Linked DNA regions of Xenopus tropicalis. The protein of the gene in region 6 interacts with the protein of the main gene of each other region in a pairwise test. Links are inferred from orthologs where the notes say so. Each region holds a gene or a part of one and is shown on either strand. Other genes may lie near its edges. The genes, in order: meox2, thap7, supt5h, cnksr1, dab1, pin1 and zbtb9.

The links.
Region 1: the proteins of pin1 (region 6) and meox2 interact in binary tests that used the Homo sapiens proteins (3 or more experiments, as listed by UniProt). The two-hybrid records come from large-scale screens. The link is inferred for Xenopus tropicalis from reciprocal best matches to the Homo sapiens genes PIN1 and MEOX2.
Region 2: the proteins of pin1 (region 6) and thap7 interact in binary tests that used the Homo sapiens proteins (3 or more experiments, as listed by UniProt). The two-hybrid records come from large-scale screens. The link is inferred for Xenopus tropicalis from reciprocal best matches to the Homo sapiens genes PIN1 and THAP7.
Region 3: the proteins of pin1 (region 6) and supt5h interact in binary tests that used the Homo sapiens proteins (3 or more experiments, as listed by UniProt). The link is inferred for Xenopus tropicalis from reciprocal best matches to the Homo sapiens genes PIN1 and SUPT5H.
Region 4: the proteins of pin1 (region 6) and cnksr1 interact in binary tests that used the Homo sapiens proteins (3 or more experiments, as listed by UniProt). The two-hybrid records come from large-scale screens. The link is inferred for Xenopus tropicalis from reciprocal best matches to the Homo sapiens genes PIN1 and CNKSR1.
Region 5: the proteins of pin1 (region 6) and dab1 interact in binary tests that used the Homo sapiens proteins (3 or more experiments, as listed by UniProt). The two-hybrid records come from large-scale screens. The link is inferred for Xenopus tropicalis from reciprocal best matches to the Homo sapiens genes PIN1 and DAB1.
Region 7: the proteins of pin1 (region 6) and zbtb9 interact in binary tests that used the Homo sapiens proteins (3 or more experiments, as listed by UniProt). The two-hybrid records come from large-scale screens. The link is inferred for Xenopus tropicalis from reciprocal best matches to the Homo sapiens genes PIN1 and ZBTB9.

What each region holds. Positions count from the first base shown.
Region 1 is NC_030682.2:36,891,089-36,895,132, forward strand, and holds the start of meox2 (homeobox protein MOX-2), read right to left. Parts: upstream 2,801-4,044; 5' UTR 2,651-2,800; coding exon 2,146-2,650; intron 1-2,145. UniProt on the Homo sapiens protein: Mesodermal transcription factor that plays a key role in somitogenesis and somitogenesis and limb muscle differentiation. Required during limb development for normal appendicular muscle formation and for the normal regulation of myogenic genes.
Region 2 is NC_030683.2:102,973,938-102,977,437, reverse strand, and holds part of thap7 (THAP domain-containing protein 7), read right to left. Parts: intron 3,466-3,500; coding exon 3,310-3,465; intron 2,109-3,309; coding exon 1,980-2,108; intron 588-1,979; coding exon 1-587. UniProt on the Homo sapiens protein: Chromatin-associated, histone tail-binding protein that represses transcription via recruitment of HDAC3 and nuclear hormone receptor corepressors.
Region 3 is NC_030684.2:81,692,723-81,696,222, reverse strand, and holds part of supt5h (transcription elongation factor SPT5), read right to left. Parts: intron 3,134-3,500; coding exon 3,065-3,133; intron 2,807-3,064; coding exon 2,555-2,806; intron 2,121-2,554; coding exon 2,031-2,120; intron 1,244-2,030; coding exon 1,173-1,243; intron 1,078-1,172; coding exon 972-1,077; intron 599-971; coding exon 505-598; intron 335-504; coding exon 198-334; intron 1-197. UniProt on the Homo sapiens protein: Component of the DRB sensitivity-inducing factor complex (DSIF complex), which regulates mRNA processing and transcription elongation by RNA polymerase II.
Region 4 is NC_030678.2:76,989,685-76,993,184, reverse strand, and holds part of cnksr1 (connector enhancer of kinase suppressor of ras 1), read right to left. Parts: intron 3,127-3,500; coding exon 3,067-3,126; intron 1,642-3,066; coding exon 1,573-1,641; intron 594-1,572; coding exon 24-593; intron 1-23. UniProt on the Homo sapiens protein: May function as an adapter protein or regulator of Ras signaling pathways.
Region 5 is NC_030680.2:87,414,939-87,418,438, reverse strand, and holds part of dab1 (disabled homolog 1), read right to left. Parts: intron 1,465-3,500; coding exon 1,345-1,464; intron 825-1,344; coding exon of another isoform or gene 786-824; intron 1-785. UniProt on the Homo sapiens protein: Signaling adapter of the reelin-mediated signaling pathway, which regulates the migration and differentiation of postmitotic neurons during brain development.
Region 6 is NC_030679.2:136,780,425-136,784,560, reverse strand, and holds the start of pin1 (peptidyl-prolyl cis-trans isomerase NIMA-interacting 1), read left to right. Parts: upstream 1-1,336; 5' UTR 1,337-1,385; coding exon 1,386-1,443; exon of another isoform or gene 1,444-1,479; intron 1,480-4,136. UniProt on the Homo sapiens protein: Peptidyl-prolyl cis/trans isomerase (PPIase) that binds to and isomerizes specific phosphorylated Ser/Thr-Pro (pSer/Thr-Pro) motifs.
Region 7 is NC_030684.2:71,795,640-71,799,815, forward strand, and holds the start of zbtb9 (zinc finger and BTB domain-containing protein 9), read right to left. Parts: upstream 2,801-4,176; 5' UTR 2,741-2,800; intron 2,718-2,740; exon of another isoform or gene 2,621-2,717; intron 2,615-2,620; exon of another isoform or gene 2,445-2,614; intron 1-2,444. UniProt on the Homo sapiens protein: May be involved in transcriptional regulation.

The DNA.
Region 1 (4,044 bases), on a different chromosome or scaffold from region 6:
AAACTACAGCATTCTCGTCACAGCCTAAGGCTAAAGGCTGATGATTGCAGTTCAGCAACCCCTAGACGCCCATAGTTTAGATTTTTCTATGTCGAAATATGCACATATAATGGATAGGACACGGTCCGGGCCATTAACTTTGACTCTAGATTGTATAATTTGGATAGGTATACTGTTTCACAAAGCCATCCTTTCATTTCTCCAGAAACCAAATGCCCTTAAAACAATTGTTTGTGAAGTGACTCTAAAAGAAAGAACAGCAGTTTCTCAAATTCGCCAGGACCCAGTTATTGGATACACCGTGGTTAATGAAGCTAGTTTGTCATTTTTGCTCTGTGATTAGGTATAGATTTCCTGGTAATTTATTTTCTTTAAACGCTTGCCAATGTTATCTTCCCTAAACAGACAAAACAGAAGGGGGGGGAGAGGTTTAAAAGCATTGCAAGCCTAGACAGACTAATTAAACACTGGAATAATAACTTTTGAAAAGTTGTCTTGTTTAAAGCCCCAAGCCTGGAAGAAAAAATAAGGTCAAACATATGTCACGAATTACTCATTTGTCATTCATGTCTTATAATTATTGAATAACCATTCATCCCAATCAGAATATCTCATAAGACTTAATTAGGAATGGTAAGCAGGTCATCTCCAATTATGACTTCGCTTTCACTTATTCCACTGACCACTTGTCTGATTAGTGAGTTAATATAGTTGCACTTATCTCTCGCCATCATCTAATAGCAGGATAAAGCTACTCCACTTTATATATATAAATATATATATGATAAGCATCGAAATCACCAATGAACTGGAACATATAATACATATTTCAGTTATGTTTATATTCAGTGTGATATACTATGTTCATTTCTTATGCTACTGATATGCAAGTATCACGTATATTGTATTTCTTTTACTAGAATTTGCCATTTTAAATGGAAATGGAAAAGAGGATTTTAGTGTTCATGTCTGTTTGGGGTATTTCAGGTATGACGGAAGGTGTCTGTTATGAATCATTTGACTTTTTCAGTTCTAGATATTGATTGGTAGTTATTCATATCACTATTGATATGCAGCGGATTAAAAATGTATATATTATTATGGTCTGCCAGAGATTCTGATCAGTGAAAGTGATGTAATAGGCTCAAAAGAACTGATTTCACTGAAGTGGCTTATGTGACTGAATTAAAGCAAATATTACCCATCACTTTGCACTTTGTTAATTAAACTCTTAATTTGATGCAGACTGTGTATATGGCTTTCCCAGAGGAGGTGTTAGCTGATAATATAATTAACACCTTTCTGCAGTTGCTGGGACGGGCAAAAAAGGCTGCCCTCCCTGGGATGAAATCTCTCTATTTTATTCCTGCAGGAAGGGGGAATGGGCAGTCTAAATGTGCCAATTGTCTTTTTATCTGCCATAAAATTGCATTTGTAATAGTTTGGCTGCTGAGAGAAACAGGAGTCAACAAGTGATCTCCATTTCTTGTTATAATACTGCAGTGATACTGGATCAGGCTGAATAAGGATGGAGTGCAGCACGGGTTTCTGAAGGATTGTGTCAATAAATAGATTGTAATTTCAAATGAAAAAATGATACTTGGATTCAATCTTGCTTATTAAAGGAATTTGATATTCTTTTGACACTGACAGGATTGTTACATAGGAATACACCAGGAAAGACTTGAAAAGAGGGAACTATTTCTGCCCGTTCGTATTGTAATGTAATATACAAGTATTTCCTGTTTAAATAGAAACTTTTTACTTATAATATGTCTTGCATAGCGTTTATAACATTCCTATAGTGTTAGCAAGCTGCACATGTCTGAAATATTGTATACATGCTAGTTAGCAAGTGTCTAACTAGTACTTTTTACACTGCTAAATGCATTTGCCAGTGAGTACGAACACAAAGCTTTGAGCAACAGAAAAACCCCTCTCTGCTCAATTTGAACTGTCAGAAGAAGCTGCCGTATGCATGGATGCTAATGGCATATCCTAGGCATACAGTTGCTTAGGTTTGCACCACTGCTGTGCCACTTTCTGCAATGCAGTGCTAATCCAATACAAGGCATCACAATTACCAGCTAATATATATTTCCTTTTTGCTGCATGCTCAGACATTGTAAACACAAATATCCTTACCTGAACTGTCACTTTTTCTTTTGCCAGTCCTCTTTTCTGCTTCTGCCGGGGAGAGGGTCTGTCTGCCATAGTCCCCTGTCACACAAGCTGCACCCGTTGAGCTGTTAGTGCCCAGGCTGGATGTGTTTGAACACAAAATAGAGGGGCTGCCACTTAGATCTGGAGGTCCAGATTCCTGCTGAAGGCAAAGGCTATGTCTGGTGGAGGCAGGAGGAGATGACATCTGAGGAATGTGCCAATTTGATTGCAAGGTCTGGTGCTGTTGTTGCTGGTGATGATGATGATGGTGATGATGGTGATGATGTCCTCTGTGATGCTGGCTCCCAAACATGCCCTCCTCATTGGGATAGCCAGTTAATATGCAAGAGGACGAAGAAGAGGATAAATCAGGATAGGACATGTGGTCGGATCTTCCATGGAGGGCAAGAGAAGACTGGGCAAAGGGGTGTAAGCCCTGAGAGGTGGCATGGGGGCTGCGCAGGCAGCCAAACAGTGTGTGTTCCATGGCATACAAGTTTCAAGTTGCAGGCTTGAGATTCTGGCAGGATTAAACTCCACAACGCTGTCACTTTTCACTGTAAAATGATATTTTTCCCAAACAGTAACGGCACACTTTCAGTACAGATCAGATAATCCAGGTCTTCAGCCTGGTGGCCAGTCTCCTGTGCTTAAACAGTTTGCTCTGACCAAGATGAGCTTTTGCAGAGCTGCTCAGATGTCAAGAGTAGGAGAGGTTAAAGCCAACAGAAGGTGGTCCCAAGGAGCTGCTTTAATGGGGGAACAGCTAAGAGAGGATATAAATAGTGTGTAATGTGAGCTGGGGGCTGGCTTAGCAACACAGTACTGACCACAAACTCTCTCCAAAACTTTAGCACTCACAGATCCTTCCAAGTTGCGACAGCATCACTGCACTGTCTATGTACAACTTAAACCGGTTCTGCCCATTGCTAATATGGATATAGAGAAACTGCACGCAGGTCTTAGTAATTCATATACTGACACAATGACAAAAAGCTCATTCTACCGTAAGAAATCAATTGGAAAGTATTGTGCCATGCCAAGCAATACATGCCATTTTATTTCTTTTTTAGTGTTCTGTGTAGTGAATGTGATACAATATAAATAGCTTTAACTAAGGCACCATTAACCTACTGTTACTGAATCTATAACTCCCAGAATCCCCTGCCAGCTGCACTAGGTTATAACTTTTTACCAACATAGGACATATATGTGCAGTTTTATACAGCGGGAAGTAAGCAGTATACATTGTTCTCTTTTGGCGAGAGTAACGCAGAACCTGAGTAATGTTCTCCTCAAATTGTTTTCAGAAATAGGAAGATGTAACATCCTCTTAGTAAATAGGAAACATGTGTGTTTTCCCAACTAAAAGTCACACCTGTGTTTTTCAGATGTTTGTCCCTAAAATCTGCTCCAGGTACTGCTTACTGCACAGTAACACAATATTGTTCTATTCATCAGCATAAATACTCATTAACCCCTTCACCTATGGCACAGAAGCCTAGTTTGTTGTACCAGCATAGAATCTTTTATCTAAAATGCTTGGGATTTGAGGTTTTCCAGATAAGGGATCTTTCTGTAATTTGAATCTCCACACCTCAAGCCTGCTAAAAATCATTTAAATGTCAAATAAATCCAAAAGGATTGTTTTGCTTCCAATATGGATTCACACAGCTTAGGTACCATCAAGTACAAGGCACTGTTTGATTATTACAGAGAATGAATAAATCACTTTTAAAAATTAGAATTATTTGCTTAAAGTGCAGTCTATGAGAGGTGGCCTTCTCATCATTCAGAGCATTCTGTATAATGGGTTTCTGGATAAGAGATCCCATTTAAGCAATTCACTGTCTGTAAAAGACTATACAATCCACCTGTATA
Region 2 (3,500 bases), on a different chromosome or scaffold from region 6:
TTTCTCGCAAATGTTCCTGTTGCAGAGCAGAGATGCGAAGTCGCAGTCGCTGCTCTCTACGCCTGCATGCTTCCAGCTGCCTCTGTACTTTACCTAGAGCCTCCAATGCAGATTCAGCCCGTCTCTTCCAAAGAAGGGCATTGCCCACATGATAGCTGTGCTCATTTTGGATGTAGGCACCAGGAGGCTGAGGTAGGCGCATCATGTAAGCTGATGGAGAGACAGGACAGGAAGGTTCGTCATCCCTTTCTCTGGAACTTTCCACTGAGTGCATTGACATATCTGAAGCCATTTTATCTCTTGCACTAGATAACTCCATGCTACAGTCTGAGATAGGCCCATTAATAACAGCAGAAACTTCCATATCTTCTAAAGTGCCCTCTGGGTGCATTTGGTCAACTGTGGTGGCCACAGCTCCTTCTGCCGGAGCTGTATCAGTTGGAAGATCTATATTTTCAGGGCAGAGTCCATGGAAGTTAACCAAGTCTTGAGCAGGGACTCCATCATACCTTTTATGATCAAAACATTCTGCAGTAGATTCATCAGGGTTACCTGACAGACTTGGATCAATATGTAAAGGAAGATTCCTGCAAAAAAAAGTCAGAAACCCATATAAATGAAAAAAATACTGTATTAGAAAAGGTAATAAGAGATAAAAGCTTTATCTACATAGGAGCTGAAGCAGTGAATAAGAATTTTTAGAAACTCCCCTCTTTTCCTAGAGATTCTGTTTCTGATACTAAATCCACTGTCTATACTGTATGTGGGTTCCCTCTCATCACCCTGTAACTGTTATTCATGTGTCTGTGTTGAGAGACTCATGAAAGCCATGACAGCACTGAGAAACTTACTCCTTGATTTACTGACCTTGAATTATTTAAAAGATGGAACTATTGTGAAAAGGAAAACTTAAGTTAAGCCTAATCTTATAGAAATAAGGCTTTTGTGATATATAAAATCAGCTTAAAGTTCTTGTCTCAAAATCACATTTCTATTCATTATTCCCCTCGTAGCAATCTGTTTCATGCAAGTCAAAATACATTGGTGTCTGTTGCCTTTGCCTAGACAACGTATTACAAATGTCTTTTTCTGTTTCTATTAGATGAAGCTTATATTAAATTTCATTTTCAAAATAGTTCCCCTTTAAATATTTGCTTTGCCAGAGTCCAGGTCCAATGTTAAACTGTTATTTGAATGCTGTAGCCCCCACTTACACTAGAAACCAGCCAGTGGTGCAGAAGTCAAAATAGAAGATGAACAGGAAAAAAAATAAATTAAATCTAGCCTCTTATACCATGTTTTCGCCACTAATCTTGGCAACAAGACATCTTTTTGCTGTGCAAGTTGGGGAGAGGAAATCTGGAAAGCAAATAATTTAAAAACAAAATGTGGTAAAACGAAAAAGAAGACCAACTGAAAAGTGTGAATTCAGAACAAAGAATAAGTAAGCCTTTTATCATAAAAGCCCCTAAAAAGATTTCATACAGCCTACAGAATAACATACATTACTCCCTGCACTCCATTTCATGGAGATTCTGTATCACAAGCAGTTCAACTTCAGCTCTCACTGCTACTTCCTAGTGTAGCGTTAAGCACTGTCCCCTTTGCTGAGCTCTCCTCTCTATGACTGTGAAGACTATCAAATAGGTGTCTATAGCACATGCCTAAGTCAGCAAGCAAGAGGAGTAGAAACCTCTTCGACCATCTACACAGTCAGAGAGTGAAGGAGAGCTTCATGCTAGACTAGGAAGTAGCTGAAGAGTCAAAGTTTATCTGCTTGTGGAACAGAATTTACATGTGACTGCAGGAAGAAAAGGTATGATATTCTGGGCACTATTTAGAGTCATTTTAGAGACAGAAAAAGGGTTTACTAGTTCTTTAATAAATGTTACTCTCCAGGCAAATTTCTTCTTTAATCCAGTAGATGGCCGCCAGTAAGAAAAAACAAACACACACCCCTTAGCCGTATATTTCATTACCTTTTCCGTTTCCCTTTTGTGTTCTTTGCATTTTTCCTTTTTTGTGTTTTAAGCTTTGATGCTCTCCGAAGCTTGGCCGAGGACATGAATAATGTTGGGACAGCGTCTTCTTTGAGACGATGGTAACCACTAGGAGACAAATGAAAATCAATGCTACAATACCTTTAACGCAAACATATTTACTCAGTGCAGTCAAAATAACGTTCTTAATAGTCCTTTAAAAGAATACCTGAAACCTTTTTTGGCACAATAAGGTAATTCAATGCAGGGAGATTCCCTTGCAGTTATGATGAACTGATAACATACAATGCTTTGGTGGTGAGCCCCTATGTTAAGTACCTGCAATGAACTTTACCCACAAATCACTGTATGATAACAATACTTGCAGGGAAATCTCCCTGCACTGAATTGCCTGCTGTGCCAGTTGGCTATGTCATTAATACAGTAAAATCTTTGACAATGTATTAGTCTGCAGAGAAACATTTATGTGGTGTCCCGAATGTATTGGAACTTGAACATTTGACCTGCTGCTGAGCAAAAAACTATCCACAAGTCACAAAAAGACCAAGCCGCAATGCAGAATGCCAAGCAAAAAGCTTTTTTTAAAGGAGAAGGAAAGGTAAAATCACTGAGGGTGTCAAATGTTAGGCACCCCCCAGTGATTATAATCACTTACCTGATACAGGTATAGGATCTCTTATCCGGAAACCCGTTATCCAGAAAGTTTTGAATTACGGAAAGGCTATCTCCCATTGACTCCATTATAAGCAAATAATTCTAATTTTTAAAAAGGATTCCTTTTTTCTCTGTAATAATGAAAAAAGTACCTTGTACTTGATCCCATCTAAGATATAATGAAACAATCCTACTGGGTTTATTCAATATTTAAATTATTTTTAGCAGACTTATAGTATGGAGATCCAAATTACAGAAAAACCCCATCCGGAAAACCCCAGGTCCCGAATATTCTGGATAACAGGTCCCATACCTGTACTACAGGCCTGTGCCCCTTTCAGCAGAAAACTGTGTGTGAGTGATGCTTTTCCTCCTGTCTTTTTTCTTCGCAATCTTGGGGCCTACGTATGCACAGTACAGTGAAAAGACGGGTTTGTTTGTTAAAGTTCAGCTTTTCACTCTACAGCACAAAGACAGAAGTGGATAACTCATTTGCAGGTACCCCCAACTTATGCAGGTTTCTGCTAACAGGAGAACCGACCTAGGGAAAGTGATTACAATCACAGGGGGGGGGGGGTGCCTAACATTTTGGTGCTGGGGTGTTGGACGTACTTTTAAAATCATATGTCTGAAAGGAAATTTAAGTCTCACTTACCTTGTTCCAACAACTTCAAAACAGCTTTTCTCAAAGTGTTTAGAACAGAAGTATACATAGTCAGAAGAAGGATCCCAAAGACCTTTGCCACTAGGATCAGTCCGCTGGCAGTTTGCTATCCAAAGATTTCTGCGGGGATCATCTTTTCTTGGAAGCCTTGAAAAGACATATAAAAGAAATCCAATTCATAA
Region 3 (3,500 bases), on a different chromosome or scaffold from region 6:
TAAATTTACAGCGCTGAACCACAAGAGTTTGTGTTTCAGAGCCGATATACACCCCATGTCTGCACCTGGGACGAAGCAAAGATTCCTGGGTGAAGGCAAAGAAGGCTGATTCTCAGCCTCCAGTGTGGCATCAGCCTATAAGTCAGGGTTTCTGTGATAATAAACATGGACTTTGCTTCACAAAAAGTACATCATACCTTAAGGTCTTCATGTTTAGGCATAATTGTGATTTTGTTTCCATCCACACTAAGAATTTTTCCTTGTAAGTTTATCAACTCCCCTTCGCACACCTCCACGTTGTCCCCTGGCTGCAAGCTGTGTTCTCTCTCTTTGCCTGTTCAGAGAAAGAGCAGCATACATGTACATATACCATGGCATTCATCAGCAGTAGGTGTATTTACCAATCATTGAGCAGGACTACAGCCTTTGAATTAGTAATGTGAGAAGTGAGGTCTACAAAATCTTTAGCAAAGTATTACATTCTACTGTTTGAGAGATCATTACCTGTTGCTTCAGTCACCACTTCCAAATCAACTCCCTCTGGCTGATCCTCAAACTTTTCTAATTCTGAGAGGGTAGGTTTAACACCTTCTGTGATCTGGTGTTTACAAAAACAAATATATAAAAATACTTTAATATGAAAAACAATTTACTCAAGCATGTGTGATAGGTCACGTGACCTGTGGTGTTTTAAATGTTGAAGAAGGTGTGAAATGATTATTGGTTTACAGAGGGAGTGGAGTCTCTAGAAAAGATGCCCTTTCCTTTCCCTTTTTCTGCACAATAAAATGAATAAAAGAATCATGCAAAGATTTTTGTGATGCACCTAAACGTTTGCTATCTGTGGTAGTGCTATCCATGTTAATCTATTTCAACTCGTCTGCAATCAACTGACCTCTCTATATAAAATACACACAAACACACTCACACTCTCTTGGCTGGAGCTAAATTCATAGAACTAGAATACTTACAACGGCAGACATGGCAAAGCTTTTAAATAGGAAACCTTTGCGGCTGTATCGATTACCCTCAAAAATAAGAAAATCTCCATCAGATGAGACATCTCCACCCAGAGACCTGTTATAAAAAAGCAGGAAAGTCATACTGTTATAGTGAAACGTAAAGGTGGGGTGATTTCTGCTTCATATTAACCATTATCACCATGAACTCACCTGATTTTTTCAGCATTAAAATGTTTTTGGGGTGGTCTCCGAAACTTCTTTCTCTTGGCAAACCAATCTTTCTGTAAATTGGGCGGAAGGGGGGAAGAAAGACAGCTTCATAGAATGCACAAGGTACATTTAATAGCTTTAGAGGACAGTGTCTTATAATACAGTAGTAACAAAAATTAAAAGGTTTGTTTATGAGGAGGGAAAACAAAGTCAACTGGTATACAGAAGAGGGAGCTGAAGGAGGTTACATTTGGTAAAACTCATAATTAATTCTTATTCCCTGCATTATTGAAAAAGGGACTACCCAGGACAAAGGCTTAATGTAAGTAACCAAGTAATCTTCAGGGTGTTTTCGTGATTAAGCCAAGAATGGGAAAAAGGGGGAAAAAGTAAGCAGATGACAAGTCTAGAGGAAATAAAAGGTGATTAGTATGAAAAAAAAACTAGGTGAGTGGAGGGATTCAACAGGAAGAATAGATGAAAAGCCTAAGCATTGAAAATGTTACAAGTTGGCTAACGGTGCGGATACTAAACAAACAAGGGTTTCTCAAATCTCAAAGTTACTCCTACTGGTGTAGGAGGTTGGTCTCTAATGCCAGTTATATTATTTTCTAGATATTCTGCTTGTGTATCTTGCTCAATGGCAAGGGAAAATATATTTATGTCCAACATATACAGCTTTACAAAAGTCATCTGTATTGTACAATTAAAATACGATCCTGAATTTGTCTTACCTGTCAATGAATGCTTACATCATAATCTTTTAATCAGAAGGCTTATTAAGGTATTTTAACACAATGTTAATGAAAAGGCAATCAAATCAGTTTATGGAAAGAAAAGAAGGCCTGACTAACTTACCAGACTCATACGTGCTTTGATACGATCATAGTCAATTCGAGGAATCATTTTCAAGGAGATGGTGTTCTGGCTTGGCTCTACATAATCAACCTAATGAAGTGAGAGAATATTCATTTAAATGCGCTTTCCTCCATTGCAAGGCTTGACATGGGAATGCTGGATAAATCAGTAAAAACCTTTTCCTTTACATCTATAAAGTTATATAAAGTTTTTTGTATTTTTTTGTTACGCAGCTCTCAAAAAAAATACAAACAACTTTTTTTATTATATAACTTTTTTTTATTTATATACATCAGGCTAAAAAAAGAGCAGAATACGAAGTCTAATAAATGTAAAACCATTAAAAAAAAATGAAGACCAACTGTTCAAAATAGGTCCAACATACTCGCTTTAGTATGCTTTCTACTATAGACTTGAGATGTGAAGGAGCTGCTTTTTGATCATAATGATCACAATGACTTGTAGGATAATACCAACCATGGCTTTTTTTTTCAGCAGCTCCTCCTACTTTATGTAGCACGTACCTGGGCTATGTCATCCTTGTAGATGCCTCTCTTGAGCCTCACCCAAGATTTGGGCTTGAGATTGGTCACCTCCTTCACAACTTTCAGGACATCTGTCATTTCCTTAATGGGTACCATTTGCTGATTCCAGAAGCCCATACGCAGGTTGCCAATGCCTTCAATGGCCTGCTTTACGTGGGTTTGTTTGTAAGCCTCCACATAGATGTAACCCTTCACATGCTCTGGAGCAACTACTGACTTTATCTGAAGGGGCTAAAGCATGAGAATAATATGTTAGAGAGAAGTTTAAGGATTGGAAAAACAGAGAATACACAGGAAGAATAAAGCAAGAATGTGGTGGCCACATGTTATCTTATATGTAAGGATAATTCTAACATTGTCATCAAGTAGACAACCCTACATATGGTGAGGTCTCTAAATAGAGCATAAAGAAGGGGCTAAAAAAGGAAAATGGCCATAAAATAGAAATGGATATGGAAATAGGGAAAAATCAAAGCTGGTCTCACTTACTGTATCAGTGAATTGGTAGGCGATAAATTTGCGCATCAGAGCAATAGCTGTAGCTCGTTCTTCTCCTATCTGCATGAGAAAAGTGGAACAAGTAAAGTACAACTGTATGAGGCACTCCGCACTGAGCATAAACCAACATCGACACCCAATTCATACACATAAAATGCTGATATGGACCACAACCACTCTGTGTGCAGTAACATGCATCAATGGGATCTGCATGGCTGTGCATATAGAAAAAAAAAATTAGCCACTTTGTAGGTAAAAAGATGCTGAGAGAACCAAAACCAGATATAAACTTCTCATACTTCAAACAAACTGTCAATTAAATTCAGATCAATATCCACTGTAGACTGTAGCATGCGTTGACATTATCGGTAGATTTACCAAGCAGAATGAGTATTTCATGTGTATCCTGGTTTAAATAAGTGAGCTG
Region 4 (3,500 bases), on a different chromosome or scaffold from region 6:
ATAGAAGAAGTTAATGAATCTACCTGTAATGTGTCAGCCTCTGTAATGGGTAAAGCCTTTGTCTCCTTGGTTTTTTGATCAAAATTTTCTGGAGATAAGGGTGACAAGGGGAAGACTGAAGTAGATTCCCAGAATGTTGGAGACCAAGGACAGTTTGCAGATAAAATGGTGTCCGAGTTCTGTTGAGAACTATCCTGATTTTGACTAATATCAGTGTTGTGTTTATTAGTAAAGGAGAATTTATCTGAAAATACTGGTGATGTGCTAACACTGTTCAAGTTTAATACTGAAGGAGTGTCCTTTGTTGGGGTGACTGGTGCACTACGTGTGGTGCGCGTCTCAGTACTTTTGCGCAAAGCCAGTATCAGATGACTGGGGGATTGCCTGGCTGCTGCTACAGGTGTAATTTCAGCCTTTGGTAATGATGGCTCACTGTGTGCAGTTAATGTGGTTTTGCTGGAGTGCTGAATAAAGTATGTGGGAGAAGTAGGAGATACAGAAGTAGAGGGAATGGAAACTTTCTTGAGGACAAGTGTTACACAGTCTGTTTTCTCTTGAAGTTTGTAGACAAGGTTCTTGCGTGTCCAACCAACCTAAGCAAGAAAACAATCATTTAGAAAAATAAAATCAAAAATATAACAAAATGATTAGATATCATTTGTTTCAGCATAATTTAAGATCCTGTAATTATCTTTCATATGTTCTCCAGCTTTATATGTAGGTGTTACAAGTAATGTACAACATCTTATAAAGAGCATTTTAATTTATTCACATACGCATTAATTTTAATGTTCTTTACATTAATATGATTCAGAACATTAGTGTGAACTTCTCATGTCTTTGGTGCTGATTCAAAAGTAACAGTAATAGCAGCAAAAGGAACAAGGCAGTATGTACACAAGTGATCCAAGTTGATCATTTTGTAAAAGTAGTGCACAGAAATCTTCATCGCTAAACCCCCTCAAATGCACTGGCAATGCATCTGCACTGTTTATTTTGGGGAGTAGGGACAGGCAGAACAGTTACAACGGTGTGGAATATTTAAACGTTGCCCTTACAGTCTATATGCCAAACAAAATTAATTTAATCATTGCTTTCAGTGTAGCTGTCGGAAAGTTACTGCCATTTAGATTTACAAAAGTTTGCATCTGTTTTTTTATGATGATTAGCTCACTCCAATAAAGCAAATAATTCAAACTGTATACTTCCCTTTTACAATATATTATATTTCAATAAATGTAAATAAATAAATAAATAAATAAAAGATTGTTAATTTTCAAGCATGGTGTAGAAAATAGGATTGCAACACTTCTCTCCACCTTTTATATACCATAAGCTGTTTATTTGTATGTACAAAATCTCAAAGGAAATACCAGTAGAATTCTCATTTGAGAACTACAGATTTATTTACATTTGCCATGCATAAAAGAGGTATTTCACAGAACACCAAATTCAGCCACATGTTTACCACCACAAAGCTTTTCACACAGAATGGAAACATATTGCAATCCAATAAATGCACGTATAAGGCTCAATTCTTTTGCAGCATACATATGAGATAAAATCACTTACCACAACCTGATCATTTACTTTTATTATCTCATCTCCTGGGAAGATCTTGCCACTTCTTCCAGCTGGAGCCTAGGTATAGTATGTGAAGAATAAAAAAAACTTTGTAAATTGAGTACAAGACTGACACAGAGTAGGCCTGCCAGAATTGCTTGTGACTAAGATAGAATAAGTATGAATGATACTGTGAGAAAGATCATATGAAGATAGGAAGAAATGAGCTAAGGAGAAATGCAGCTAAAAGAAACAAGGAAATGGTTCTATAAAGACTGCTAAAAATGTGGGAATAAGCTGCTAATGCACCATGCATTGGCAGCTTATTCCCACATCTTTAAAAAAAATCGTTTAATTAGTGAACAAACATATACCCATAGTACATGGATATTAGAATCTGAGGGGTTGGCCAGCTTTAACTTTTTTCTTTTAGAACCTGCTTAAATTCTTGGATAGCAGATATCAACCCTACTCACACACATAAGTAATAAAATGCACTTTTGATCAGGAGCAAATAAACATTAACAACCACTAAGATGTTTGCTTTATGCTACTTGCTGTACAGGGCCCCCTATAATGGCACAGCATGAAGAGTGTTGCACAACAAGTTTGGAAGCCACCATCTTCTAATGCATGAAAATCCAGTTTTCTCCTGAACAGCTATCAGTGACTTAAGGTGGCCATACACATCGAGGTCGCCAAGCGAGCGGATCTTCTCCCGATATCCCCACCTATGGGTGGGCGATATCAGAGTAATTAAGGCTAATTAGGTCGTTTGGCCTTGGGGCCAAACGATCAAATTATAGCGACAGTAATAGGCGCAGTCGGTTCAGGGACCACTTCAACGAGCCGATGCGGTCCCTGATCCGACTGAATTTTTTAACCTGCCCAATCGATATCTGGACGATACAGGCCAGATGTCGGTCGGACAGGCCCATCGTTGCTGCCTCTACATGGCCCGATAAGCTGCCGAATCGGTCTAAGGGGCCGATATCGGCAACTAGAATGGGCCCGTGTATGGCCACCTTTAGCAACTTAGAGTTTTATTGCAACCAGTCTGATCTTCTCCCATTCTGACAAAACGACATGTGATTTGAATGACCCCTACCCCTGGATGCTTTCCTTGTGTGGCTTTGTTTACCCTCTTGCAGAAGACTACTGATTTTATCATCTGATTTTTTTTTCTACAAATAACATTAGTTTGCCTCCAAATTGCTTTTTATCTTCAAAGATAAAAAGCATTCAAAAGAATATGTTTTAAAGCAACATCTGCTACCTATGGTTTTATCCAGATTGCTACCACAAAAAAGCAAATGGCACTCCAGATTGCTACCCTTGCAAAGATATAGAAGACTGTAAAATTACCCAAGATAATGATGGATGTATGAACATCTTAACTGAACCTAACACTAAACGATCTGCGATATATTATGAAAGTGTTTTCTATTGGGACAAAAAACATTTATACAGAAATACAAAATTTCTGATCCTGAATCAACTGACCTCTGCTGTTGTTCCGCAGACAAAGTGCTGCCCCAATGATGTAGACTTTATTTCTATACCCTGCAATAAAATGATAACATGGATGTAATGACAGCTTTATGTTGCATATGTATGTATGTCTGTCTGTATGTATAACATGTACTTAAATTATGAACACTTATTAATTGACTATAATGATTAATTATTAATAAGTGTTTACATTTTTATTACTATTAATTAAAACACTAATTGTCATCACACAGATAGATGCACATAAACAAATGCATTCTAATGTAAACATCTTTTTCACTTTAAGTAGTAAGCTCCTTTGGATAGGGCTCTCTCTACCTTTTGCATAGGTTATTGGTTGTATTTTGTTTGTATTGAATCTTTATGTTCAATGTATATACACATTTATTGTACAGCACTGCAGAATATGTTGCCACTTATTTAAA
Region 5 (3,500 bases), on a different chromosome or scaffold from region 6:
TTTTTTCACCTAATGTTAACAAAAGGAATTCTGGGAGTGAACTCCAAACTCTTAAAAAAATCCCATTTACATGGGTTTATCCTATAGGCTAAAGCTCACCCACTGGGTTTGAAGCTGAAGCCAGGACAATAGCTGATCAGATTCCCAACTACAGACCGGTTTCGCCCTTCTTGGGGGCTCATCTGAAATTTGGAATTTCCCCACAAAACCATGCCTGGTTAAAAAAAAATTGGTGATCACTAAAAGCAACCAAAAAAATTTTTTTTTTTTACATGTATGTATACACATTTGCAGAAACACTTTATTTTGTAGAACTATTTATTTAAAACATGAGGATAATGCTCTTCATGTGGAATGACAAGGTGCTTAAGTTCTTATTACTAGTGATGAGCTAAACTGCCCTGTTTTGCTTCACCAATAAATTTGGGAAATGGCAAAATTTATTTCCAATCAATTAATGTTTTTCTTCTGTTTTCTTTCTGTCTGTCTATCCATCTATCTATCTATCTATCTATCTATCTATCTATCTATCTATCTATCTATCAGCAATGACTCTGATATGGTTTTGAAGCTTTGAAAATATGAAATTCTAATCAATAGTAATTGGCAAAGTGTGTAAAGTAGTAAAGATTGCTAATTTGATTCTTTATAAATTAGGCTTCCTACCTCATCTCTATAGCACTACAAAATATGATGGTTTATTAAATAACATTAGTTTTGCTGAATGCTATAAGACATAATGAAATGAGTCTAGTTTATGGGTGGTCTATGGATGGAGATGTTACCTGGTAAACAGGATCTTCTACATCTTCTTCCAAAATTGTCTGAAGTAAGGTAAGCAGGGAAAGGGACACAAAGCAAAAAGGTATGAACTCTACAATTAGGGAGTGAGGTGTCTGATGTTTCACCACATTTAGTATTATATTATAAAGTTGAAATGTGCCCTTCGATTGTTGGTATACTACATCTCCCAGAATTACAAGACATTGTTGATGGTTTTTATAGTACAACAACAGTTTTAGGGCAAGAGATTAGGTATATCCTACAGTGAACTGTCAATAACACAAAGTTATGTGAGCGTACTGTATATTACACCTAGTACTAAATGTAATATTGTATGGAGAAATGCAAACTATATATGGTCTATTGGCCTATATAAAAACATCTTTCCAAACTGAATCCCAAATCCCAAAAGCTGAGTAAGTTTTAAACCATTTTGTATCTTCAATGGACTTTGCAATACAACTCCTTTGGTTTCACATATAAACTAAAATATATTTTTCCAAGGTTGATCAGTTTGCCTGTTGACATTTCCAAAAACCAAAGCCAAGGCTGAATAGATACCTGATATACAGCTTGTTCACATTGCTTATCTTTTTGTGCCTTTTTCTCAATTTCTTCCCTCTGCTTCAGCTCATAGATAAGCTGAAATAAATCTCTCAAATCCAAAATGACTGGCTCTGCCTACAATTGAAGGACAATATTTGAAATTAGTTCCCGGTAAGATTTTCATCTTAAATGCCTTTGAAAGAGGAAGAATGTTATTGTAAATAAGAGTTGAATCTTAAATATTATCATGTGCTTACTGAAATGCTAGATTTTGCATGTAAATCAAACTTTCATGAGATGGTGATTAATCAAGAGGTAAGGTATGAAAACACAGCTTCCATGGGGGCTTGAGATGAATATACTTGGAAAAACTTTCTTGACTTATACCAGTGAAATGTGCTCTAGGAGTCAAACACAGTGTAATATAATCTAGAAAGTCTGCACAGACCGAATAATAGTACATTTTGCTTGCTGTAAAGTTATAACTCATATTTTAGCCATACCACAAAAGTGTATGGGAAGGACCAGCATTTCAGTTTAGGGTAAAACTTAGGCAAGTAAAACTACAAAAGGCATTTGTCTTAAATTCTACACTTAACCAATCAAAGCGAATTGATCATTGGTCATTAGTTTATTAGCTCCACTGACTCTAGGGACAACCTACAGCATCTCTAGGGTTAAAATCACATGAGGCTGTTTCTCTGCTGCCCTGGCCTGTGTGCACACACAAGATGCAATTTTAGTGTGAAAATGTATAATTCACATTTATACCTTGAAATACAATCCATGTTTATACAGACTAAGCCAGTTCATGTCAGTGCACTTATCGCAAGGAGCGAATGAGTGCGTATCAGCTGGGTTTTTACGAAGACAGAGAAACAGCCTCATATGATATTAGCCTAACTGCTTATTCTCCTCATCTCTTGCTCAGCACAGACAATATAACAATGTGTTAATTTTATGTTTTACTTACTACTTACTACTAACACATAATTGGACAGATGTGTTTTGGAAACCAGTCCACCTATTCCCAAAAAAAGTTATTTTTGTATCTTTTTCTTTTATAATTGTTTACTTATTAATGTTTTAAATAGACTGCAATAACAATGAGCCTAATGGGATCTTTTTTTTTTAAATTAAGGAAACCAGTTTACACTGCCTAGTATGTAAATGGGCTAACTGTGTCCTTAACCAACTATTTAACTCGCAGTCTCACAAAAATATGCATGATTCTGAATGGATTTCAGTCAGGAAAAAGAATTATTGTGGCCCCATATACAGACCAATGTCTTAACTTCCTTTCTCTCTAGATATATTCATTAGAATAAGCAGAGCTCAGAAGATGAGTGGTGATAAAGGCATCTTAAAGTATATAAGTAATTGCAGAGGCTTTAAATAGATGGATATTTGAAATGAACTCTTCCAGCTCTGACCTTTAAGAAAATAAAATCCAAAAGCATTATTCCTGGTAACACTATTTTAGTATGGTAATATAATAAAGCAGAGCTGTCATTTTTAAGCAATTTCCTCTACAGAAAGAAGTCTAGTTTGCATGGAACTGTTGATCATAATAAAGCATACTGGCACAAAATGTGCTGAGATGGGAGAAAAAGACAAATAATGCATATTTAGGCATGGTTATGGATATATAATTTATTATCGCTCAGAATAAAAAAGGATAACAGTAGACTAAAAATAATTTCTCTTTTGAAGTATAAGTAGGAAGAGTTTTTGCTGTATGCCTGTACAACACATAGGGGCACTTTTATCACCACTTGTTCTCTTTTGATTTCTCGTGATTCATTGGGTGTTATTTATAAAAATTCCTATCTGTGTAATTTTCATATTATTTTTACATCAAATAACCTTGAATTTTTTAAAAATGCAATCGAATAATAGAAAATACCTCAAATTTTCAAATTGGAAAAACTCAAAAAACTAGAACTGGCTGTATAGGTTACATTTTCTCTAGGACAGCTCTCACTGACTTCTACGTGACCTTGCAAGCTTTCAGATGCTGAAGTTTTACATTCAAGACTTTCACACTTTTTTTTTTTGCTTTATGAATATCATAAATTCAAGCTTTTTAAATCATAAATCAAATGAATAGTTTTTTGGACTAAAGAAAACATTAATTGTAAAAAAACAATAAATAACCCCCTTAGTAAAAT
Region 6 (4,136 bases):
TCTCATGCTCTACCGACTGAGCTAGCCGGGCACTTGTGAAACTTTCCATTTACCACTACAGCCCCTCTGTAATGTACTATCATCCCAGTTCTCTTGTAAAAATCCGCCTACAGTTTCAGTGAGCATGCAAAGCTGCCATACATGATCTCGTCACACAATAAAATATCACTAACTATCATCTTTATTTTATTCTATATTATATATAAAGCTGGCAAGCTTTTTTTTAATAATGGCTGCTGTTATAAAAACGATTGAGCAATAAAATAAAGGGCTGTTGTTACAATTAAGCAAAACACACTTTCCCTGACCGGGAATCGAACCCGGGCCGCGGCGGTGAGAGCGCCGAATCCTAACCACTAGACCACCAGGGAAGGTTGTATGTGAAATTGCCAGATTTATTTTTCCAAATCGCCAGTCAGTTCTAAAACCAGTGAAATACTAGTCCAAACCCACTTTGAAAGTAACCCAAAAATAGCCCAATGTGCAATGAAAAAAATTCTACAAAAATAAAAGTACATATGGGAAAACCTGCCTTTTTAAAGCATATAATCACTACCCAGTTACTGGAATGGCTGATAATTCCCTGCCCTCTGTGCCCAGTCCAGCTGGGAAGTCGCTACAGAAATAGATTCAGAATCTTGCATTAACCCCAGACTTATAAATATGGGTGCGTTCAACTACAACTCTCAGCAGCCCCAAGATAACTACAGACCTGCCCCCACATCACATACCCTATAGAGCAGGGAGCAGAACATACAGGTTGAGCCTGAAAGAGCAAAAAGGAATAGAAAACGGAGCCTCTGGCTAAACTGCCCAATTGCAAGCTGGGTATTGTAGTTTTATATTACTCCTAGTTGTAGGCTAATTGTTAGCTACAAACTACATTACCCAGCATGCAGTGGAACAAGCACACTAGGGGAAAAAACTGGCTAGGTTCCAAACTACAAACCCGCCAAGGCTCCAAAAACTAGTCCAAAACGGTACTTTGGCGGGTTTGTAATTTAAAAACAAACCAGGGCTTTAAATTAGTAGCCCAATTTGGCAGAAAAACCGCTAACCTGCCACCCATGCTTGTGAGAGCAATTTTAATGCGTAAGAATAGAGAGAGACGCGAACACATTTCTGCGCATGCGTCATACTGCTGCCAATGCGTACAACCTCTCAGCCCCGCCCCTTGTTTTATTAATTACTCCGTTTATTCCGTTACAGCCAATAGTGGGCGCATATCATTTCCCGCCCTTGCTTTCGGTTTTCAGGCTGACTACGTCGTCGGCAGATTAGTTAGCTTAATGGCTAAAAGCTTAGCAGGGACTTAACCAATGAGAAGCGCCGAGCTGACGGAGTGGTTTGTGTAGGCGGGGCTTGGCCTGACGCAGGAGGGAAAGATGGCGGACGAGGAGAAGCTACCGCCCGGGTGGGAGAAGCGCATGAGTCGAAGCTCGGGTATATGGAGTGTAGCGGGCACAGTTGTTATATAGAGTTAGTGCAGCGCTGGTTTGCTTTGTAGCTGTTCCTATTTTATTGTGTCTTGCACTGTGCATAGCGTCCTGATAAAGGTGCTGTTGCAAAGCTGCAGAACTACAATTCCCACTTTGCATTGCGCATTATAGTATTTAGTCGCCTGTAAACAGACTAAGAAATGCTAAGCATTGACTGCTTCTGCTACTGTATGGGGCCATGACTGGTGCCCTAGTATCTGCACCTATCTGTTCAGTGTCATTTGTGTCAGAGTTCGATCTGTTCCTGCTTAGATGCTGATGTGTCTGTGATTAACATGGTGCCTTGTGGCTATGTATTGTATGTATCCTGCTCGGGAATGGTCTTCAGTCAGGAGCCAAGCAGGCAAGGCCCTTCAGAGATCCTTAGTGGGGCCTAAATTAGTACAGTGGCCCCTGGGAAAGGGCCGTGGTATAGTAGGGAGAGATGGTGCCTATAGTAGCAGTGGGGGGATAATAGCCTCTGGGAAGGGACTGGGGCTGTGGGATAGCAGGTATAGTAGGGAGAGATGGTGCCTATAGTAGCAGTGGGGGGTAATAGCCTCTGGGAAGGGACTGGGGCTGTGGGATAGCAGGTATAGTAGGGAGAGATGGTGCCTATAGTAGCAGTGGGGCGATAATAGCCTCTGGGAAGGGACTGGGGCTGTGGGATAGCAGGTATAGTAGGGAGAGATGGTGCCTATAGTAGCAGTGGGGGGGATAATAGACTCTGGGAAGGGACTGGGGCTGTGGGATAGCAGGTATAGTAGGGAGAGATGGTGCCTATAGTAGCAGTGGGGGGGTAATAGCCTCTGGGAAGGGACTGGGGCTGTGGGATAGCAGGTATAGTAGGGAGAGATGGTGCCTATAGTAGCAGTGGGGGGGTAATAGCCTCTGGGAAGGGACTGGGGCTGTGGGATAGCAGGTATAGTAGGGAGAGATGGTGCCTATAGTAGCAGTGGGGGGGGTAATAGCCTCTGGGAAGGGACTGGGGCTGTGGGATAGCAGGTATAGTAGGGAGAGAGAGCCTCTGGGAAGGGACTGGGGCTGTGGGATAGCAGGTATAGTAGGGAGAGAGAGCCTCTGGGAAGGGACTGGGGCTGTGGGATAGCAGGTATAGTAGGGAGAGATGGTGCCTATAGTAGCAGTGGGGGGATAATAGCCTCTGGAAAGGGACTGGGGCTGTGGGATAGCAGGTATAGTAGGGAGAGAGAGCCTCTGGGAAGGGACTGGGGCTGTGGGATAGCAGGTATAGTAGGGAGAGACGGTGCCTATAGTAGCAGTGGGATAATAGCCTCTGGGAAGGGACTGGGGCTGTGGGATAGCAGGAATAGTAGGGAGAGATGGTGCTTATAGTAGCAGTGGGGGGATAATAGCCTCTGGGAAGGGACTGTGGCTGTGGGATAGCAGGTATAGTAGGGAGAGATGGTGCCTATAGTAGCAGTGGGATAATAGCCTCTGGGAAGGGACTGGGGCTGTGGGATAGCAGGAATAGTAGGGAGAGATGGTGCTTATAGTAGCAGTGGGGGGATAATAGCCTCTGGGAAGGGACTGTGGCTGTGGGATAGCAGGTATAGTAGGGAGAGATGGTGCCTATAGTAGCAGTGGGGGATAATAGCCTCTGGGAAGGGACTGGGGCTGTGGGATAGCAGATATAGTAGGGAGAGAGAGCCTCTGGGAAGGGACTGGGGCTGTGGGATAGCAGGTATAGTAGGGAGAGATGGTGCCTATAGTAGCAGTGGGATAATAGCCTCTGGGAAGGGACTGGGGCTGTGGGATAGCAGGAATAGTAGGGAGAGATGGTGCTTATAGTAGCAGTGGGGGGATAATAGCCTCTGGGAAGGGACTGTGGCTGTGGGATAGCAGGTATAGTAGGGAGAGATGGTGCCTATAGTAGCAGTGGGGGGATAATAGCCTCTGGGAAGGGGCTGTGGGATAGCAGGTATAGTAGGGAGAGATGGTGCCTATAGTAGCAGTGGGGGGGGGGGATAATAGCCTCTGGGAAGGGACTGGGGCTGTGGGATAGCAGGTATAGTAGGGAGAGATGGTGCCTATAGTAGCAGTGGGGGGATAATAGCCTCTGGGAAGGGACTGGGGCTGTGGGATAGCAGGTATAGTAGGGAGAGATGGTGCCTATAGTAGCAGTGGGGGGATAATAGCCTCTGGGAAGGGACTGGGGCTGTGGGATAGCAGGTATAGTAGGGAGAGATGGTGCCTATAGTAGCGGTGGGGGGATAATAGTAGGGAGAGATCGTTTGCAGCTTATTGGCCCATGTACAGTGCTGCATTCATAAGTAGCACTATTTACAAAAAAATTATACATAAATGCATGTATGGTGACGAGAACTGAATTAGTGCGTTTATGTTGTCCTTGACTAATGGGTCTGCATAGGGCCATTTTAGAATCTGCTTTTTATTGGCCCAGAAGCCAGTCAATCTGAACAATCCGATCTGGCTCAGATCAAATGAGCAGATATGTTAATGTATGAGTAACGCTATGCTATGAATTCTCCTGCTTTTTTTTTTATACCCAGTTATGGCTGCTTGTGAGTATAGACGTAAGCAGGGAATAAATGTTCTTTTGACATAGCAAACTTTGGCTTTACTTTACTGCCTGTGTACTAGATACTCTTGCTGTACTTTATAATCAATATAGCTGTC
Region 7 (4,176 bases), on a different chromosome or scaffold from region 6:
CGATCAATTCTCTGACCAATGTCGGAGGAAAGAACAGCAGATGTACGATTGTTGGGTGCACACCACCCATACGATAATTCAATAATTTGTCAGATCATACTGAAATTGTTATGTAAAAAAAGGCTGTATAGTATAAAGGGGTGCACAGTGACAAAATGCATGTACTTGATGAAGAACCAGTGGTGTAACTGTTAGCATTGCTTTCTTGGAGTGCTGGGGTAATAGGTTTGATTCCAGTGAGGGTACTATGAGTTTTAATGCGTTATCAATGATTGTGTTTCCTCCCACACTGAAAAAACATTTATCATAAATGGCTTCTGATCGAAAAATGATCGTGTGTGAATGCTATATGCACCTTAAGTTGTAAGCTCCGCTAGGGCAGGGACAGGTGTGGATAGTTATGGAATATGTTGGCGCTAAATAAAGAATAATTTGATATAATATATTATATATATACATACATGCACTGGGGGGCAGACTTCAAGTGGTAGTTTACCTTCACAAAACTGTGTTTCGTAAAGGTAGCCATACACTGTAAGGTCTGCTTGCTTGTCAATGTCATAAAGCAAGAGGATCTTTTCCCGATATGCCCACTTACTAGGGCCAAACAATCAAATTAAAATGGCAGGCATAGGTGCCACTGGTTCAGGTCAGATGCCGTTTGGGAAGGCCTGTCGATGGTGCCTATACACTGGCAAATAAGCTGCTGAATCGCTCTAAGGGACTGATATGGGCAGCTGAATCTGGCACATGTGGCCATCTTTACGTGTGGCTACCTTATTTTGGAACAGGATGCAAGAATTCCAAAATACAAAAAAATATTTTAAATATTTTAGAAGTAAATTGATACAGTGCAAATGGTTTCATACTGCTCAAGGGCACTACGTCGTAGTGTTCATGAAAGGCATGAAACATGCAGGGCAACTTTTTTATTTATTCATTTTTGGAGTCAATGCACCTATACAATACACTAAAATAACCCTCTGTTTAATACTGCAACTACTGCTTTTTCCCATTAAAAAATGAAACTATACAATTAATGCTACACCAGGGTTTTTTTCTTTTAGAGAATAAGACAATCTACTCAAACCCTGGCTGACAGAAAGACATCTTCCTGTCTGTGTGCACACAAGCATTTTCATGACAAGATCCATCCTGCCAGGCACTGACAGGCATGTAGTACCACACTAGGCTCCTGTCCCCTGGTGTAGATATCACATGGAGTAATATTGGTGTTTATAGTTATACTTTTCAGAATTAATAAACATTTTTGGAGAGCACAAGCCTAGCTAATATTATAATTGTACCTAAGTCTAATATGCAGGGTTGTCAATGATGCAACATCTTTAAACAACCAAGGAGGCTTCACCAGGGATATTTGTGTATATGCTGCAACCCAACAAGCTCTCTTGATAATCAGACTATAAATAAGATTTTTACAAGACACCCAAAAGCCTGGGCCACAACATTAGGGACTGTATACACTTTTACTTCTTTAAATAAATTACCAGTGCAGGGCTGCAAATGTATAACAGTTTTTCTGAGCAAGGTGCAGAGAAATAGTCCCTGCTATGTGCCCACAAGCCGTCTTTACTTTGGCATCACTGCACTTATGTAAAAGCTCAGTATATAGAGTGCTGGGCACCAGGTAGAACAGTGTGACTGTCTGCTGGACAATCCTCAGGCTCTCGTAAGCGCTCACCCTTCAAAAAAGGCATGTTTTCTGCACTTTGATCACCACATATTTTTTATCAGCCGAAGAAACATGTTTAAAATGCCCAAAGTCACTCACATACTAAAATATCTGCCTGAAATCACTGGTTTAAGCACCTGTCATGGCTACATACTGTCTCCCCTGAACACAATATCCCGTGTGAGGCTTTGTTTGGTCACAGCTAATGATGGATTTCATGTATCTGCATCAGAGAAACATTATAACATATAAAGGGCAGCCAATTCCATATCTGTTAGCAGCCATTTACATGGCAGGAGTGATGGTAGGAAAGTGATGCCCAGCACTGCCCCAGTTATCCCTCATTCCTTACTGGGCTATGTGTCCCATTATTATGTGTCCCCCTGCGAGCTTGTACCTTAGTCTCCCCTAGCGATCAGGCAGTGGGACAGGGCTGAGGGAGGACAAGGAGCAATAAGGCCCAAAATACAAGTACATATAACAAAATGCTATCCGATAACCTGTTCCCTTCCCAGCCAGGCCCACACACCCATTACCCAATCAATACAGCCTGTGGCCTTATGGTACATAGTTGCTACTGGTGTCCGTTACTGTAAATAGTGACTCTACCGCTGTAGTTCGGCTGTATGTGAAGGATGCTGGGAACTGTAGTCCCAAACTAGCTAGAAGGCCACAGACTAGACACAGGTTTGTGAGTTCTGATAAGTGCACTGCTCACAAAGGCGCTATAAACCCCACCCCTGAAACATACCGTATTACTTCCCTGCTCCCCTGAAGCTCCCTAAATACAGCAGCCCGTCACTGCACCAGCGGCAGGACAAACATAGCCAGGCCCGTGGAGGCCAGACGCGGGACAAACGTGTGTAACCCTGGGAAACCATCAAATTGGAGCCATGCAAAACGCGGTCAGGGACAAGTATAACCAACCCTGGGACTCCGTAGTCACATCTCTACGAGAGTAAGGAGGAGGGACAAGTAGGCGCTATCCCCGGGAAAACGAGCTAGGAAACATCCGGGCCTGTATCACATGGACGAACATTACCTTACCCCTTGTCTCAGAGCGCCGCTCACACCTGTAGTTACCCCTGGAGACCAGAAGGGGGATATATTGCGCTCTTTCCTTTAGGAACCTACCACAAGCACAAGTAGTATGAATGTGCTGTAATAAACCGTGGCTATGATACAAACTGCTCCATAGAGGGTTATAGCTGTGTGGTGTGCCAAGTGATCTGCCTCTCACAGCACTATGTTACTATTGCCTGCAAAGCTCCAGGCTGAGTAGCCTGCTTTCACATACATTATCCAATACAAATTACTAACCAGGTCAAAGAACTAATAAATGATTCGTTTTAGTGTGATGGACCAAAATAGGGAGCTGGAGCAAATAGAAGAAGTACAGATAAAAAGGAATATTTAAATGTGAAATTATGTGGTGATATGCATTCTCTGGTATATTTTAAGTTTATAACAGGCAGTGTCAGACTGACCCACCAGGATACCAGGGAAACTCCCGGTGGGCCCAGGGGTCAGTAGGCCCTCCTGCTCCAAACCATTTGGCCTGTTTCATGGTCATTCCCTATTTCTGAATGGGAACAAATACAAATAATAGATGGAAAAATAGATGCTAGCATGTAATAGGAGAATAATATTTTGGAGAGTGGGCCCATGTTCTAAGGTTTTCTGGTGGGCCCCTGGTATTCCAGTCCAACACTGATAACAGGTACAAGAGATCATTACACCAAACTGATTTATGCTTCCAAACAGTAGCGGAACTATACCTCCCCAGGCCCAGGTGCAGGGCATGCAGCAGGCCCCCCCTTCCCCCTTCTGGACACATTTTTGAGGCAAAGTTGCACTGGTACAACAATGCAAGCATCCACTGTCCAAAGTTCATATTTAATTATACCTACCAGTCCCAGACTGGCCCACCAGGATACCAGGGAAACTCCCTGTGGGCCCAGGTGTCAGTGGGCCCTCTTGCTTCTAACTATTTAGCCTATTTCTGGATGGGAACATGGAAGCTTGGTAAATGGATGAATAAACGTTAGTATGTAGAGAAAAGAGACTAGGATAATAAAGAGTTTGAAGGAGGAGAGGAGGAATTAAAGTTTTGGCAGTGTGCACCTGGCATCTCATTCTGACACTGATACTTAGCCCCTGCAATTACATATATATGATACTTCTTTGTTAAAAATATTTTTTTATTTACTGACACAACTATATCATATGACACAGTCAAGAAAAATGGTATGTGAGAAGAGACTTTTTTAATTATATACAGACAAATACTGGGAATATGTGACCTGAAAAGGTGGATCTGATCCTAAAGGGGATCTAAAGTCAAAAATAAAATCCCCTTTCAGGCTCCTTACCTCCAGAAACCTACCTCCAATATACTTTCATTACAAAATATCAATTCAGTTCAATTCTCCCTTCTCTTTTATTGTTCTGACAGTTGCGGATACAAATCTCTAGGCAGCATG